4 linked regions of the Drosophila melanogaster genome follow. The protein of the gene in region 2 interacts with the protein of the main gene of each other region in a pairwise test. Each region holds a gene or a part of one and is shown on either strand. Other genes may lie near its edges.

Region 1 (2,801 bases), on a different chromosome or scaffold from region 2:
TGGGTACTTCCACTTTGACCTGCCCGAGGGAGGATACATACGGGTGTTTTATCACGTGGATAAGTACGGCTTCTATACCGAAACTTTGCACTGACATAGAATGATTGAGAGTGTGTGTGTGTGTCTGTGCAGTTCTGCCATAATTGGAAACCAGATTTATTTCAACGAGTCTAATTTGTATTTAAGTTTATAAAAATAAAAATACAAATGCAAATATAGATCAAAAAGTTGCTTAAAACCGTTATAGAAATGCTGTTTAATATCTCGTGATATTCGGTAAGCAGACGTCGAAATGATCTGAGAATTTGTGTATTTGAATTTTAATAATTTAGCAATTCAGATTTGAGAGAATGTAGCCATCTGTCCAATACGTCATAGATTTCGGATAGGGCTTGGATGCTGGTGGGCCGGCTGAACTAGTTTGCCAGATCGGGTGGAGCGTCGATTGATGGGCATTTTATTAGGCGGAGTGCTAAGTGCGAATAGGCCTAGAATACAATTTATTACTGGACAGCGAATTTGTATGCTAATAAGCTGAACTTGCTGTTTTTTTTTTTTGGGGAATTTAAGAATTCCTTGATGAGCAAACAGGTTGTCCGCCTGCGCTCATAGCAAGCCAAATGGCCAATGATAATGAAATCGAAACGAATGATAAATTGGATTGGATGGAATTAAATTAGCTCGCCACGAGCTGCTGCCCCCTTCCAAATCCAAATCCAAATCCAGGTCCATCTCTAAACTTACCATCCACGGGCGAATGTCACAGTCACATGTTCCATTACCGTCGACATAACTCCAAGCCCCCAAAAGCTAACCAAAACTACTATTGGCCATTAAGTGCAAAGTCAAATGATTACCGCTACCAAGGCAGAAGCGTGTTGATCCATCGGCAGAAACCACTTGGAATGGGTTCAGGTGCTTCATTATACTCTAGCTAAGGCTGATATTATTTGGATCAGAGGTTTGCTTTTTTGAGATTGGTAAGATAAGTATATTGTATAAATATTTGAATTTGTTTTCGAAATGCAAATGTTTCAAGATAAGTATCATAAGCCACACCCCTTTTAGAGGCCGTGTAGTTCAAAGTCTTATATTGAAAAAAGAAGACACAAGCCAGTTTAGTCATTGAATTACCCAACTTCTACAGAATTACCACAATACACTTAATTTTAAATGACCATGCATGCTAATTTGTGCTTTATTTAAGGAAAATTTAAAACTATAATCCCTTGTTTGTTCTTCTATAAGAAAAAAAAAACGAAATAATAGCTCTCAAAGAAGTGAGCCCACAAGCCCGATTAATCAAAAAGAAAATAGTTTCCGATTAAGACGAAAATTGCTAGGCAGATAATTAAACTAAGCTAAGCCAAATGCCTATGATTTCTAGGTAAACTTAGCAATATCTGGCAAGGGTATTTCGCACTGCGGTGCTGAAATTCAGATCTCCTTTCCATTTTTTTACTAGCTGCTGAGCTGAATTTTATTCAATTCGATCGGTATGCTGCTGCCGAAAAAAAAAAACGACAAACGTATTAAGTTTGATATTTAGTTTGGAGCGGCGTTTGGAGTTCAGAGCCAGATTAGAGACGTCAGCGATGGCGACGCCAACGCCAAAGTCGGCGTTGCCGTTGGCTGCCTATAAAAGCCACCGCCTGCGAAGATCACCCAACCAGTGAGGATTATACAAGCCAAGAAACCAGCAAGATGTTTAAGCTAGTGAGTAGACTTAGCCGCCCGGAAGGATCCGGATTCAAAATCAGAACGTGAACGTGTGTAACCATTTCAGTCGCTCTGCCTGCTCGCCGCTCTGATGCTGGCCAATGTGTATGCGGACAACATAAACAAGGATGCCGTGATCACCCGCGAGGATGTTAATCCTGCCGACGCCGAGGGCAACTACCAATACGCCTTCGAGACCAGCAATGGTATTCAGGCCCAGGAGGCCGGAAACGTCAATGGCATTAGCGGAAGCAGCTCTTACATCTCCCCCGAAGGCGTCCCCATCTCACTGACCTACGTCGCCGATGAAAACGGCTTCCAGCCTCAGGGCGATCACCTTCCCACCGCTCCCCCAATCCCGGAGGCCATCCTCCGCGCCCTGGAATACATCGCCGCCCACCCTCCACAGCCCTAAATCCCCGATTGGATACCCCATTCAAAGCCTAGTCAGTGCTTTTGCTAAACATGAGTTATATCTAGTTCTAGAAAGTCTGTACATAAATCCCCCAAAAAATAAAAACATAAATAGTTACATCAAATATACCCACAGCCATGCTGATCATTTGAACAGAGTCAAGTATGTTTTCATTATACAAATCGGCAAAAACTAGCTGTACCAAATTGCAAACTTAAACTTCCCAGCGTCTGTTTTTGAATCCATAATTTTTAACCCCAAATTGCATACAAATTATATTATAATATCTTAGTTGTTTTTGGAAGGTCACACTTTTGAGCTGATATTTCTTTTGGGGTAAGGTTATTTAATCACAGATGCAAATGAAGGAACTTGAAATAGATGTCAGATTGTGTCAAAATACTTTATTTTAACCTGATTTTTCATAACGTTTTAAAGTACGCCTCCAATATCGGTTCATTCATTCATCAATCTTGAATCTGAGTCAGGAACATTAGCACATACTGTTTCCAAATGCTTTTCATAATTAAATCAATAATCTTGTGTTTGAAATGTGTTACCATATTAAGACAAATTAAACTGCTGTCCAAAATCATTTATCACACTGCAAACCAGACCCAGGAACTAACCAAGGCAAAAGAAAAAATTCAGCATAAGCAACACCAGA
Region 2 (4,039 bases):
TGGTTTCCCGAAAACTATAACCAAATGGGTGGAAACAAACAAAACCCTTCCATATCGAACTTATTTATTACGACGAAGCTCCATAACAAATGTTTCATAACTTATCGGTTGTTTGTCATACATTTAAGAACATTATGAATAACATTTAAATGTAGTCTGGTTGCCACTTAAGTAAGCTACTAATTTGCTTTAATCTTTGCTTAACGGAATACTAAAATGTTTTACTTACCTTGCAGGAGATATACGAATGGCCATATCAACTTTGTGACTGCCAGGAATCCGGCGAGTGCCAATCTTCCCGAGATGTTCGATTGGCGCGAGAAGGGCGGAGTGACGCCACCGGGATTCCAGGGTGTGGGATGCGGTGCCTGCTGGTCGTTCGCCACCACAGGAGCGCTCGAAGGACATCTATTCCGGCGGACTGGAGTGCTGGCCTCGCTGTCGCAGCAGAATCTGGTGGACTGTGCCGATGACTACGGCAACATGGGCTGTGACGGTGGCTTCCAGGAGTACGGTTTCGAGTACATACGCGATCACGGTGTAACGCTGGCCAACAAATATCCGTACACACAGACGGAGATGCAGTGCCGTCAGAACGAAACCGCCGGACGTCCACCGCGCGAGAGTCTGGTGAAAATTCGCGATTATGCCACCATTACTCCCGGGGATGAGGAGAAGATGAAGGAGGTGATTGCCACGTTGGGACCGTTGGCGTGCTCCATGAACGCGGACACCATTTCGTTTGAGCAGTACAGCGGTGGCATCTACGAGGACGAGGAGTGCAATCAGGGCGAACTGAATCACTCGGTAACCGTGGTGGGCTATGGAACGGAAAATGGACGCGACTACTGGATCATCAAGAACTCGTACTCTCAGAATTGGGGCGAGGGCGGCTTTATGCGCATCCTCCGGAATGCAGGTGGATTCTGCGGCATCGCCAGCGAGTGCAGCTACCCCATTCTGTAGGCTCACAACTGCGCCATGCAATTAGTTAGATAGTATAGTCAATTAAAAACCACGAATTTATAACTTTGTTACTGTAGTCGTAAGCTGTGTGGGTCACCACATCGATTCCATGAGTCACGCGGTTAATAAATGAAACAAGTGCCTTATCGGTTTGTGTTGCTTTCTGGGGAAATTCTGAGAAATTGGATCGTAGTCTTAACGGCTATGCACACAAAAATTAATTTTCGGTCTTATTTATTTTTTGAGAAACATTTTCTTAATGAAGAACAACGCTGTGTGGGAAGTTGTTTGAGAAAGTAATAAATTTCAATTTGGCAAAGTGGATAGAAAATGAACAATGCACACATAACCGTATAACCGTGTAAATTTGCGACAAATTTAATATAAACAAGAAATAACGCTACAGTCGGGTGTCACGACTAATGCATACCCGTTAATCAGAAAAAGCTGCAAGCAGCGTAACGTTTGTTTACAGCATTTGTGTGGAAAACACATACATATCTAGAATGTAGTTGTTACATTCCTATCAACGAGCCTAGTATTCCCGCCGAGTAATGGGTATAAAAACGGGGCTTAAATTTCAAATTAATTTAATTCAATACTATTGCAACAAATCATAAAGCAATTATGCCAGTTGTTATATATTTGGTGGGCAAGGTCACGTAAATGCAGTTACTCTTTTAAAAGATCAACACTTAAGAGAAAAGAGAGCAAAAGAAATCGCTCTCGTTGTCGGTTTTTATTTAGATTTCTCTCTGAATGCAGCTGATTTTGAGTACTTGCAATTATATATGTATGTATTCCCCATATAATTCGCGATTCTGGCAGTGCGGAGCGCAGTACGAGAAAAGTGTTCAAGATGACCTCAGCTCGAATTTTACTTGGCGTCCCACTGCTCCTGTATTTGATGGGCGTGGCTCTGGGCGTACCAGTAAGCACATCATCACCTGCTACACAAAAAATCAATCCAGAGATTGGGGTTACTACTGGGAAAAGCGACGCTGACTCATCGACACCCACAATTGAACACACCTCTGGCTTATCTGAGTTCGAGGAGGAATGCCAGTTTGCATGGCAAAGGTTCTTGGTAAGTTTTTTGATCGCATAATTCCAAGAAAGGGTATCGTTCAAGGAAGTTATTTGTATACACTCCAAGGTCGACTTTGATGTACACTACGATAATGACTACGAACGGCAAAAGCGACGTGATATATTCTGCGAAAATTGGCAAAAAGTTCGCGATCACAATTTGAAATACGATTTGGGAGTTGTCAGCTTCAAGAAGGGTATCAACCAGTGGAGTGATCTTACCTTTGAAGAGTGGAAAGAGAAACAAACTCCCAAAGTTATGCCAGAAATCGCTAGTGAATCATCAAAGGAGGAGCGAGACAAAGTCAATTGCCAGGCTGCATGGGAAAAGTTTTTGGTAAGATTAGCTAGGTTATTAAAACCAACTTGGTATTAATATGTATGATATGAATTACAGATTGACTTTGGAGCGCAGTATAAGAATGCAAATGAAACCGAGAAACGCCGCAATGTATTTTGTGCAAACTGGAGGGCGATTGTGGAGCACAATGTGCAGTATGAAAAGTGGGCAGAGCCCTTCAAGAGGGACATAAATCAGTGGACTGATCATACTATTGAGGAACGATCTAGTCCTGCTCCCGAGATTCGTAAGGAAGAAGCCACTACATCTACATCCGAAATAGATAATGATAATATCATATGCCAGCCGGCTTGGGAGAAGTTCCTGGTAAGATATGGTTGGGTATTTAAAGAATTTTTATTAAAGTTGCTTTTATCAATTGCAGATTGACTTTAAGCCGTCTTATCAAGATGATACTGAAACCGAAAAGCGACGAAATGTATTTTGCGACAACTTTAAGTCGATACATAAGCACAATGTTCAATTCGATTTGGGAAATATTTCTTTTAAGAAGGGTATAAATCAGTGGAGTGATTTGACCGTTGAGGAGTGGAAAAACAAACAACGACCTGCTTTTAATCCAGAGTTTTCTAAAGTTGAAGCTACTACAAAAATATCTAAGGATAAGAGGGATGATAATACATGTCAGGCAGCATGGAAAAAGTTTTTGGTAATATTTGGCTTGCAATGTAAATAGAATTTGAGAATTTGAATGAATATATCTTTATTACAGATTGATTTCGGTGCGAAATATCAAGATGAAAAAGAAACAGAAAAACGCCGAACTATATTTTGCGACAATTGGAAAGCGATTCAGGAACACAATGAGCAGTTCGAATTGGGAGTGGAATCTTTCAAGAAGGGCATAAATCAGTGGAGTGATCTAACTGTAGAAGAGTGGAAAACCAAACAACGACCTAATTTAGCTCCAGAGTTTTCAAAAGAAGAAACGACTACAAAAATAAGCAAGGAGAAGAAATACAAAAAAAATGTTTTTTAAAAACTAGATGATAAGATATTGTACCGAGTACATTTTCAGATGAAATGTTTGTCACCTTTTAAATACACGCAAAAATATTGCTACTAACGCAAAGAGAATACCTTAGTGATTTTGGGTTAATTTTTAAAAATATGTATTTATTATTATTTCTTGAGGGGCTGTCCAGTTGAGAATCTTGCTTGAGGAGTTTATCTATTACAATAGTGTTTCGCAAATGTTCAAGCCGATTTTATGGCTGGGTTCGCTATTTAAATCGATCATTAAGTTTTAAATGAGTAAATTTTGTTTTATGTTTCTTTCACTACCTTTTTGTTTTATAACGCACACGAACTCTAAATGATTAATTTATACTTGTATATTTGCTGAGATCCCTATCTCCTTGTTGCATTTAACAGGGCGCATTATTCGTATTACACATACAATCCGTAAATATATATAATATATATGTATATAGTATTTAATTTAACAAATACATTTGTAGGTTATCGCAAGTTGCTGCACTAAGTGAACGTTTTTATGTAATCAATATGTTTACATTCATTGATATCTGAGTACATCGAAGTGGACAACACACCGCTTCTTTACAATGCATAATGGGTATTGTTGGGGCATTTATAGTTACTATACAAATCTTTTGGTAGGAA
Region 3 (3,014 bases), on a different chromosome or scaffold from region 2:
AGTTGTTCGTGCCACGTTTTTGTTCTTTTATTTAACTCAATTTTTGCTCGCAGTTGACGTTGTTGTATGAGCATTTAATGCCGAAATTTTGTATTATCGGCCCGGTTTGACTGCCTTGAGTCCGGCTGACTGCTTTTTCTCTATTTAATATTATGAGACTTTTTTTCGTGGCTTTTTGCTATTTAAACATGCTAGTAATTTTTAATGGCGTGTGACATTTTTGTTTACGCACAGTCTCAATGTAGAGCAAAACATTAGCATGTCGCCGGTATTAGTTTACCAATTTTCTTGCTGCCATTGAGGCATTTGACGGTGTCTTAATTGATATTTATCGCTGGACGATTGCCATGTTCATCATAATAGAGTCGTGTAGCCGACAAAAAGCTCATTACTTTAGCTGACTGGTGGCTGCATGGTAAACGCGCCTACAATTTGGCCATTTGATTAGCCTCACCTCGTCATGGTCGCCGGGGCCCCAAATGGCCGATCCAATACGGCACATAAAATCCAATTTAATTAAGTTGGACTCTCGGATTGAGACGCAGTCGGAGGATCGAGACTCAGATGGAGGCCCACAAAATCACAAAGTAGCAGCTGCCGTGGCAGACAACCTTGCCAACATTCTTAACGTGTTCAAGATTTTTACCAACGCACTGCATTTAGGTTTGTTGTTGTCGCGTTCACTTTTCAAATGCTTACGAAATGTCAATATTCGGCACAAAGTTATTTGTTATTTGATCGGATCGATTGAGCAATTGTTGATATACAATTTTTCTGTGTTTGTTCTTTTTGTCTAACGGTTTCTCATTGATTTGTTAGCTAATTGTATACGAAAAATGTAATTAAAATTAAAACGAGTAACTGGAAACCACAACGCTCGCATGTTAGCTTGACAAACGAAAAATAGGTAAATAAAAAATGTTAACACCTAGATCGCACAGCTGGCGACAACGGTGCGAATGAGTCATATTGCACCAGAGTAGAGTTTCAATTAGTTGCAAATTACGTGCCTAAAGCTAAGAACCAAACCTAAAAAATGTTATGCCGAGTAATTATAAAATATTTGGTATTAAAAGCATACTTGAACACATATGAGTGATACACCCAAAAATGGTTCACACACTTGTGTTTACTTTCTAAATTTCAGAAATCGCAAAATGATTTTACGTAATTTACGTAATTCAATGTTGCCACCATGACATTTCATTTTTACCATTTTTTCATTATTATTGCCCACCTATCAAACCTCAATTGGGTTTGCAATTTTTTAAACAATCGTAAGCCTAATTTGCTTTCATTGTTATGGATAATAAACGGACCCTGAGCTATATATGGCAAGGTTAACCATTATTTTGGGTCTCCATCACTTGAGCCTATATTTTCAAAACTATTTTCGCAAATGCCTTACTTCCTGGCAACCGCGATCATCGCGGGTGTTTCTTTTTTGGCTTACCAATTGGCCGGCTTAATCAAGCCTTCTATATGCCAATTAAATCCATGGCTGCTAGTAATGTTAGTTAGACCATAATTTTATGAAAAAGAGCCTTCTATGTCTTGCTAGTCATGTTTTATGCATAAATTGATTTAAGAGTTGAAAATGCGTCTGCGCATGTAGTATATATCTCTGGTTTTTTCTATGAAATTTTGTGTTCAGCTACATATAACAACGCTTGCTAAGGTATGTGCTTCTAACTTGAATTCATATTTACTCATTCATATTTTTTATATGAATAATAGCAGGTGGTTGTTGAACTCTTTCATTCTGATTTATCATCTGCTAAACACTGAAATTACAAAACTGGATCATTGGAGTATATTACAGATAAAATCTGACCTCAGTTTCTCCATTACAACATTATCAAAATTGTCATATAATTTAATTTTTAACATAATATGTACCTTTAACTGCATTCATGTTTTTTTTAAGTACTCAGGTATCTGCTATAAAAGGAGTAATTCCTTTTAAGCCAAGTATCAGTTGCTTCCTACTCTACATTCAAGCACACAATTAAAAGACCTATTTCAAAATGGCACTCTATTATATTTTGGTGATCAGTGTCCTGCTTGTCCTCGCCCAAGGATCGTATTTGTCGTCGGTGAATCAGGAATCCGGGGTGGGAGTGCATCAGTCTGGAGCTATTTCATCTAGAGCTCCAGCTGCCGGAATAACCCGTGGCTACTCCGCTGCCCCTCAGACCCAACGACCCATCTCTGGATATGGATCCCTCTCTGGTCCTGTTGGAGGATCCCGTCGAGTGCCCGTAGTTGGAGTGACCGGATCTCGTCCTCGTGGTGGAGCTCCGCGTAGTCCGTCTGCTGGAGCTCATGGACGTCCAAATGTAGGTGGATCTGCCCATGGAAATTCCTACCAGAATCGCCAACGCAGCCAAAAGCCTTATTAAGAAACAGAACTTATCATCAGCAAATGACCAAACCTAGATCTACATCCTTATTGTCACATTCTTATTCTACTCTCAAACCTTTTTCTATCGCAAATAATAACAAATGTTACATAAAAACGAAACTTGATTAAGATTATTTTACAATGGCAGGGATAAGATTGAGCATTGGGGAATATTCATTTCATAGGCATTACCTAGTACTTAATCCTTAGCAACAATGTCACCTTTAATGAACTGGTTAATACGCCAATTTCAGCTTTAGCGACAAGTTACGCACTCAATTGGCTGCACTTCATGATTTAAACATTTCTTGAATAGTTGCCCAAAGCGAGTAGCCATTTAAGCTGGGAATATGAATTCGATTTTCAAACCATTTAAAGTTACCAATTTGTTGATATTCGGCTATGTTAAGACGCTGATTCTTGAATCATTAAAATAAGCCAGAGTGCTAAAATAAACAATAAACTAAAGCGCATAAGCACATAAAGCACATATATATACATATGTAGGTTTTAGTACATCTTATTTCGTGCATAACTCTTTAATCATACATGTTTTTTTTTAAATAAATTTTTTATTTTATACATCCTACGATTCTAACTGCTTTACATT
Region 4 (7,763 bases), on a different chromosome or scaffold from region 2:
ATTTATATGTGTTTTTTTTTTTAACAGGCCCTTAGGGAACAGCATAATGATATGCTGCTCCAAAGCAGCGGGCGGGGATCTAGGTATAAACAACTTTACAACTCCATGGATGTGGAATAAGCTGTACTGCCCAGTTGTCCAGCAAAATAGCAAACAACCTTGAGTGTGCAAATAAGGCGTTCCTTTGGCTCAATAAAGCAATATATCTGGAGCTGATTTTCGTAAACAATTTATTTTTCCGATAAAATTCGAATCTCCTATTATTAAAATCACTTTGCCATGTCTTGAAGTAACTTAGGTTATTATGATCAAATTTTCGGAATAAAAAGAATTACGTAATTAATATTTGAATGGGTTATGTGTGAAGGAATTACGGTGGTAAAACTTTTCTATAACAAGTGTGCTATGGCTCTGACTTCGAATGGAGCTGCGATGTGAAGTTCTATGAAAGCCTCATTCTGCTACTGGAATCTGTTCGGCCAACACCTAATATTGGGTTCTAAATTTTCAAAATAGATTTTCTTTCTAATATTGCACAAAACTAACAAAAATGGCGGTGCGACCTTTTGGTGAGTGAGAATTCATAAAATTGTAATGTGGTAAATAATATATTATACATGCTTTTTGTAGGCCCTGGACCCGGCGTTTACATGCTGCCCCCCACTGTGGGCTATGATAAGCATGACAACCGCAAACAGCGGTTGCCGCAGTACTCTTTCGGCATGCGCACCCGTGCTCCTGGTGAGGATCTGGGTCCTGGTCCAGGGGCCTACAAGGTGGACAAGTTGACTCGCTATGGCACGAGCAAGGGTTTGGAGTTCTCGATGGCGCCCAGAACCAATGTCATCGGTAAGATAACTTATTAGTACTGAAGACAAGAACGTTTTTGGTTAAATTGCTTAATCGTAGATAAGCGAAGCAGTCCCGGTCCGGGAGCACACGATGTTCATAATAGGCCATTCTTTAAGGGGGTTAATGCTCCTTCGTATTCGATGGGCCTACGAACGGACTTTAACTTCAAGAAGGATGGTCCCGGTCCCAATGCCTACAAGTACGAGGTCAATGCCGTTCGTCCTGGAGTCCCGAGCTATAGCATGTGCGTATTTCAATCCTACCATAGTTATTCCTTTACTAAGTTGCCTATTTTTATTTGTACCTGTATCTCAGGGGACTACAAACAAAGATTTTGAACAAGACGAATTCTCCGGGTCCGGCTGCATATGGCGGTGGTGATATCAATGTCAAACTGACACGTGCTCCGATATACTCGATGCAGCCGCGCACCACTATTCCGGGCGAGAATGTCGGACCTGGACCCAACTACTACGACCTCATGTACTATCGTCCTGGCAAGAGTGGACCGGGCTACTCCTTTGGTGTGCGCCACCACCAGTTCGCTCCGCCTATGATAGTTAGATGTGACAATATGTAGACCAAGTGCAATATTGGAAGAAATATATGCTAAAATTTTTGTGAATAAACAATTCTTTTTAAACCAAGTTTCATTGTTTATGGAAAATGCTTAACGGGGTATTAAAATGAGATTGAATTTGTTTTAACTTGGTAGAACGCAATGAGCGTTACCTTTATTGGAAAAGGAAGGGAGCATTTTGATGCTAGTGCGCCTATGATGTGATACACTTGGCTCTGTACATGTCTAAAATACAAGTAGTCCCTGAACGATGTGTCAAATTAACATTTGATAATAGAAATTTTTGGAAAAAGCACATTTACATTTACATTATTATATCAACGTAACGGTGAGTTTTTAGGCAGACAACAACACGCGTTACTATTTTACGGAATTGAGAGTAACTGAATTTGTATTTAGACTATCCCATTTCAATTTCGCGGGCAAATGCTCATCTTGTTTCAACCGTTGTTTTCTCTTAACAGAGCGCTGTTATCAAGATAATGGTTCGAGTGCTCGCTTAAAGGCACTGGAACTCGGAACCATTGATTTTATCTAACTCCGGTATTTTTCAGTCACAAAATTCTTTTTATCAAAGTTTCTCGTTTTGTTTGTAGATTTTGCCTGTTTTATTTATAGTTTTTCGAAAGAAGTTGGCGAAATTGTCCAAGCAAATTTATAGTTTGCTCCAGTGTCCGTAAATTAGATGTGTGTTTGTGTGTCAGTGGCTCGTCGGGCATATTATAGGAATTTGTAATAATTAGTGGCCAATAAAGGGAGAAGAAATATATTCACCGAGCATTCGCCACGGCAAAGTTCTTGCCGTCCATGTTCCCAGCTTACGATTGGTAACATGATGAGCGATGTGGCGGGTGCGGCCGCTCCAGGTGGTACACCAGGTCAACCGCAGCAGGAGCAGGAACAGTCTTTGGCGGAGGCTGCTCCGCGTACACCGACGCTTGCGAATCCTCCTCCATCCTCACAGGAGCTGGGTCGGACCCCCAACCAGGAGAGCCGCCATAACGCAAATTCCCACTCCCGTCGATCGGGTGGTGGCCAGGTGCCATCGAAAGCCCAGGGTAACACCGAGTCCCAGTTCTTCTTAGAGGATGGGGTTTTTCGCATTGATCGGCGCGGTCGCGTCCATTTTGGCTTGGTAACCGCAACGACCGAGACCTATTCCTCCTCCGAAGAGGAAGATGTCGATTCGCTGTCCAGGGGCGAGGTGCGTGTGGCCTTCTATCCGGGTGGCAAGGAGATGGTGATGACGGAACAGTCGGTGAGTAAACTCCATTGAGGTTATGTAAGTCTCACGGTCTCTCCAAAAAAATAACTGTTTTCACAACTGTTTTGAGTTTGCTCTTCAAGTTCTTTTGACACGTGTTTGTTTGCTTCTTTTCTTTTGTTCCATCGACATCCGAACATGTGGCATATACACAGATTGGTCTGGCGGATCGCACCCTAATGCCAGGCGATGTGGTGCGGAGGCGTCTGCCAGGAGAAAACGTTTTGGCTGGCCAGGCGGGCTACGTGCGGGATGTCAATGTACGCGCCGATGTTATGGTAATGGGCTCCAGAATGGTCATTAAAAATGTGCCCGCCGAGCGACTGCGTCCGATATCCGAGTGGAACCAATATGTGCCTCTCTGCATGGACACCTGGATAGGCACCATCATAGACATTAATGAGTGCGCTGTGCTCAAGTATGTTTCATATCTCTCAATCAACTCGGGCGAACATTATTTTCAATATTTTTTTGCAGATCATCCAACGGTGCCCGTGTGGAAATCACCTCCAACGATTTCCACAAGTTTAAGGATGCTGTGTCCGAATGCGATCGCACGGTCTTCAATCCGAATGTCTTCTTTCCAGGAAACATTGTAATCGGTCGCATGCCGCCCCCGGATCGTGTCAAGAATCTGACCCCGGAGATTACCCATCCCTTAACTCGCAAGGGTCGTGCTGTGGTAGGGAGATATTAATCCTTTATAGATTTGTAGTCTCAGATTGACCGATTGTATATACTAGTTACGCTATTATTTTATGTAGCATTCGCCCTAGTTTGATTTGTCATAGTAGATTAATTACATTTTTACTTAACTAAAGAAGGCCCTCCCATACTATCGCTAATTGAAAATAACCTTATTTATCCAGTACACCGTGGAGTCTGTAGAAACTACATCAATTAATGTGGATTGGTCCTGCCGTGCAATCGGAAATGCCACGGGCAGCGATGACACAGACAGCGATCCTCTAAAGGAGCCAAGGTCCTTGATCAAGGGTGAGGAACTGCACAAAGTCAAGCGCCTTAGCCTCTATGAGTCCTACGAGCTGCAAATTCACGATCGATTCTACCTCAAATATTCAAAATGTGATCTATTAGTTAAATATGCCGACTGGGAAAATGAACAAGGTAGGATGTTAACAGGAAATAGGTTTAGAGGTAACAATAAATTATATATATATATATTGTATTTCACGTATTACAGCGGAGAAGTACATCCCCATTTTTCACGCCCAGAAAAAAATGCAGCGCAAGGCCAGCAAATTGAACGCATCTGCTTCCACTAGTGGAAATGCTCGCAGTGTACCAAAGTTCCGCCGCATGCCCAATAAAATCAGCGGTATGCGACTGCCTCGACCGCCAAGCGACCAGACTCACAATGCTTGCAAGTCGTCTAAGCGCAGCAAAGAGGATGTGTTGACATCGGAGGATGAGGATGAGTTCGAGGAGTTCATGCAGCCACTTGATCAATCGATGACTGCCGAAAAAGAAGTGGAGGTTGCTGAGGACGCACTGCCTCCGTCCGCTGCTACCACAGCTGCAGCCGGTGTCGAAGTCCAGGCTCCCAGAATAACGATGCGATCTGCTAAGAGGCGACAAGTAAAGAAAAAAATCCGCTCTGTCAAGAAAACAATTTATTCGCCTTTTAATAAAAAGGAAACCACTCCCAAGGATGGCGATGAAATCGTAGTGGAAACGCTGGTCGTTTACAGCTCGGTGACGGTCGTCTGGCAGGATGGCACGGTGGAGTCAGGCGTTCACTCCACTCAGCTCTATCCTATTCATCATTTGGACAACCATGAATTCTTTCCCGGTGATTTTGTGACCAAAGCCAACGATATCAGTACGGGAGCCACAGACTACGGGGTAATTCAGTGCGTGGACCATGATGCACGCATAGCCAAGGTCATGTGGTTCAATATCTACACGAATATTGATAATCCAATGTGAGTGCACTTTTTTGTTTTTAGCTATATAAATTATAATTCTATATATTTTGTTTAGCCCTTTGTTCAAAGGATTGGAGGAGCTGAGCGTTTATGACATGAAGGATCACACCGATTACCAGTACCGACCCGGCACAGTGGTGATCCGAGTGTCAAACTTCACGGGTGAGGATGTTAACTCTACTGCTGGTCAGGTGATCGACAACTACCCGAATGGTCGTGTGCGTGTTTGGTGGGCGAAGGGCCATATCACATTGTGCTACCCTCAGGATCTCTTTCAACCATTTGAACAAGATGAACAAAATGAACAAGATCAAGATGTCTACGGATCAGATGGATCCGAAGACTCGTGGGAGACGGAATCGGAAAACAGCCACATATCGTCATCGGACAACGATGACGACATTCTTACGGGCATTGACAGAGCCACAGAGGCAATGAAAGTGCTAGAAAAGATGTTCCGCGTTTTACATCCCAATCGGAAAGCGGAAGTGCTTTACGATCTGCTGGATGTGTACAAAAATTGCCGGGCCTTAGACCGTTTGCTAAATACTAAATTTTTCGACGAGTTTAATTTCAAAGGCATTGTGCGTTGCAAGCCTATTACCTCTAAAGTTTGTTCTGACAGTGCCACCCATGAGCGCGCAACCCCAGAGACCCCAGAGACGTCGGCCGCCGTTCCCAAAGAGTCATCAACGCTCCAAGCTGAGTTGGAACCAGTTTTAATGGATCCGTCTGTTCAGTCATCATCAAGTCCTACTAAGCGAAAATCCTCTACGGAGATGGATGAAGTTCTATGCAAAAAGAGCACGGATGAGATCTCGGAGGAGCAAGATTACCAGGTGGAGGTAGTAGAGGTAATAGAAGATCCGCCGCTAGTGAGGGAGTATCGCTGCAAGTACAACGAAATGTTCGCCAACGCACGTAGAAGCATTGCAAAAGCGATTGAAAATCGTACTAAGGTAAGAGTCCTTCAAACAATAAAGAATTTTGTTTTTTTTTTACAACTTATCCTTTGCTGCCAGAATGATTCTGGCGTACACTCTCGCGGTGAAATCACCTCTGACGAGTCTAATAATCATCCAGACAGCGAAAATAAGTTGGACATAAAGCATCCCACAATAAATGTAATGGATGATTTGGAAATTGAATTGGTTGCAAGTGGAGATGCTGACGTCTGCGAAGTCTTCTGTTATTTGATCAAGTTTCAAATGGCCAGAATTCGCAAGACGGTCGCTGTGACGTTGGGCAAGACAAATGACAATCCCAAGCAAGAGAAAGAGGATGTTAGCGATGCAGAGGAAGCTATTGAGGCGGTCAGCCAGGAAGCGGAACTAGCCAATGATGGTGCTACCGAGTGCAATACAATGGCTGAGGACGAAGCTATGGAAGAGCCATTGAATCTCAACGCGCTTTCCGAGTCACTGCCGGCTATTGACCAGACAGGTCCCATGGCCTGCTCCTCACCATCTTGGTCAATAATTCCAGACACGCCCTCCGTGGACGAGAATTGTTTCCAAGTGCTGCCCAATGCACCAGCTGCACATAATTTTATTAGCAACCTGATTACCCCGGCCAACAAGGCGCAGTATCAGCGAGCTGTGCAGCGGGAATATCTTATGCTTAAGTCCTCGCTACCTAACGGAGTTGTGGTACGTGCCTACGAGGATCGCATGGACCTAATGTCTGTAATGATGGTGGGTCCCAAGCGCACGCCCTACCAGAACGCTCTATTCTTTTTCGACTTTCAATTTGGGCGCGATTACCCGAAGAGCCCGCCGGTGTGCCACTACATCAGCTACTGCACGGATCGTCTCAATCCAAACTTGTACGAGGGTGGCAGGGTATGTGTGTCGCTACTTGGCACATGGATGGGACGCGACAACGAAGTTTGGTCGCCCAGCAGCACCATGCTCCAGGTGCTCGTCTCCATACAGGGACTCATACTGGTCGATGAGCCCTACTATAATGAGGCGGGCTACGAAAAGCAAAGAGGTAAAGTGCTGTTTCTATTCAATGCCATAGACTGAACTTAAAATGGTTTCGCCATTTATTTTTAGGCACCCAACTGGGCAATGAGAACTCTCGTGTCTACAACGAGATGGCCATCATAAAAATTGCCCAATCCACGGTGAAGCAGTTGACAAATCCGCCGCTCATCTTTCGCAATGAACTTATTGAGCACTTCAAGGAGTTTGGCACCGAGCTGTATGCCCGCATGCGGGCCTGGTCGGAGTATTCTCTTGAGGCACAGCGCCAAAATATAACCAAAATCAAGGGTGAGTCAGCCAATAACTCAGTTTTGCTCGATTATTCATAATCCATTTTCTTAGACATGCCTGTGGAGTACAAGGCGTCTTGCGAGCTACCCGAATTCCCGCTGCTACCATGCAGTCGAGGCTTTTGCATAGCGGTCAAGCGCGTTTTGAGCCAACTTCAAAGCGAGCTAACTGCCTTGGGTGCCAATCTGGTTACGGATGAACGTAATGGCATTGCGACTGGAATTGGCACTGCCCCGCGCGCTGCTCCGGAGGAGATCTGATTGCCACTCATCCTGGCCAGCGTATGCCTATGAAAATGGTGCCTATCAGAAGAACCACAAGACTTTTGCCGCCTGCGTTTTGGGAGTCTGATCTGGCCCTCGGCAAGTGTCAGCGTTTTATAGCCCCTATCTCGAATCTCGAATTTCTATCCGCTCGTATTGCTGGCAGACAGCCTTTTAGTTAAACAAAATTTTCTACGATTATTGGTTATTAGTTTAAAAAACAACAAACAAAGCTGAATTATATATAGCGCGCAACTAAGCATAAATTGTTAAAGGAATCCGCCTCATGTAATGTCAGCGAGTTTTACTTTATGTTGTTATCAGGCCAGCTAACAAATAAAATTTAATGTTTTGTTGCGAATATTGTGAACGCTGGCCTACGCGAATATTTGTAGGCATTCCACTAGAACCTAGCTTAGTTAGTCCATCCCACGTCCAATCAGCACCATGTACGTAATATTGTAAGCTAGCCAATGCGAGAAATGTGAATAAACTAGCAATTTTATTTATTATGCCTCCAATTTCTGCTTTATCCAATCGATGAAAGCCCCCCTGAGGGTATATACACCGGGTTAT

Evidence for each region.
Region 1: the proteins of CG6357 (region 2) and Cpr78Cc interact in a two-hybrid assay, tested with the Drosophila melanogaster proteins (one large-scale study listed by BioGRID).
Region 3: the proteins of CG6357 (region 2) and CG14332 interact in a two-hybrid assay, tested with the Drosophila melanogaster proteins (one large-scale study listed by BioGRID).
Region 4: the proteins of CG6357 (region 2) and CG10254 interact in a two-hybrid assay, tested with the Drosophila melanogaster proteins (one large-scale study listed by BioGRID).

The regions. Positions count from the first base shown.
Region 1 is NT_037436.4:21,298,917-21,301,717, forward strand, and holds Cpr78Cc (cuticular protein 78Cc), read left to right. Parts: upstream 1-1,663; 5' UTR 1,664-1,704; coding exon 1,705-1,716; intron 1,717-1,786; coding exon 1,787-2,134; 3' UTR 2,135-2,255; downstream 2,256-2,801. Other genes in the region: CG43702 (uncharacterized protein), read left to right, coding at 1-94.
Region 2 is NT_033778.4:13,838,253-13,842,291, forward strand, and holds CG6357 (uncharacterized protein), read left to right. Parts: upstream 1-1,800; 5' UTR 1,801-1,825; coding exon 1,826-2,053; intron 2,054-2,122; coding exon 2,123-2,392; intron 2,393-2,452; coding exon 2,453-2,722; intron 2,723-2,780; coding exon 2,781-3,065; intron 3,066-3,128; coding exon 3,129-3,395; 3' UTR 3,396-3,491; downstream 3,492-4,039. Other genes in the region: CtsL2 (cathepsin L2), read left to right, coding at 237-966.
Region 3 is NT_033777.3:17,421,190-17,424,203, reverse strand, and holds CG14332 (uncharacterized protein), read left to right. Parts: upstream 1-2,001; 5' UTR 2,002-2,027; coding exon 2,028-2,402; 3' UTR 2,403-2,514; downstream 2,515-3,014.
Region 4 is NT_033777.3:23,688,950-23,696,712, reverse strand, and holds CG10254 (uncharacterized protein), read left to right. Parts: upstream 1-1,729; 5' UTR 1,730-1,760; intron 1,761-1,986; exon of another isoform or gene 1,987-2,187; 5' UTR 2,188-2,264; coding exon 2,265-2,690; exon of another isoform or gene 2,691-2,707; intron 2,708-2,851; coding exon 2,852-3,114; intron 3,115-3,173; coding exon 3,174-3,378; intron 3,379-3,565; coding exon 3,566-3,824; intron 3,825-3,900; coding exon 3,901-4,642; intron 4,643-4,700; coding exon 4,701-5,604; intron 5,605-5,667; coding exon 5,668-6,637; intron 6,638-6,702; coding exon 6,703-6,921; intron 6,922-6,975; coding exon 6,976-7,184; 3' UTR 7,185-7,706; downstream 7,707-7,763. Other genes in the region: prt (portabella), read left to right, coding at 28-120; CG10252 (uncharacterized protein), read left to right, coding at 551-569, 631-849, 910-1,096, 1,168-1,432.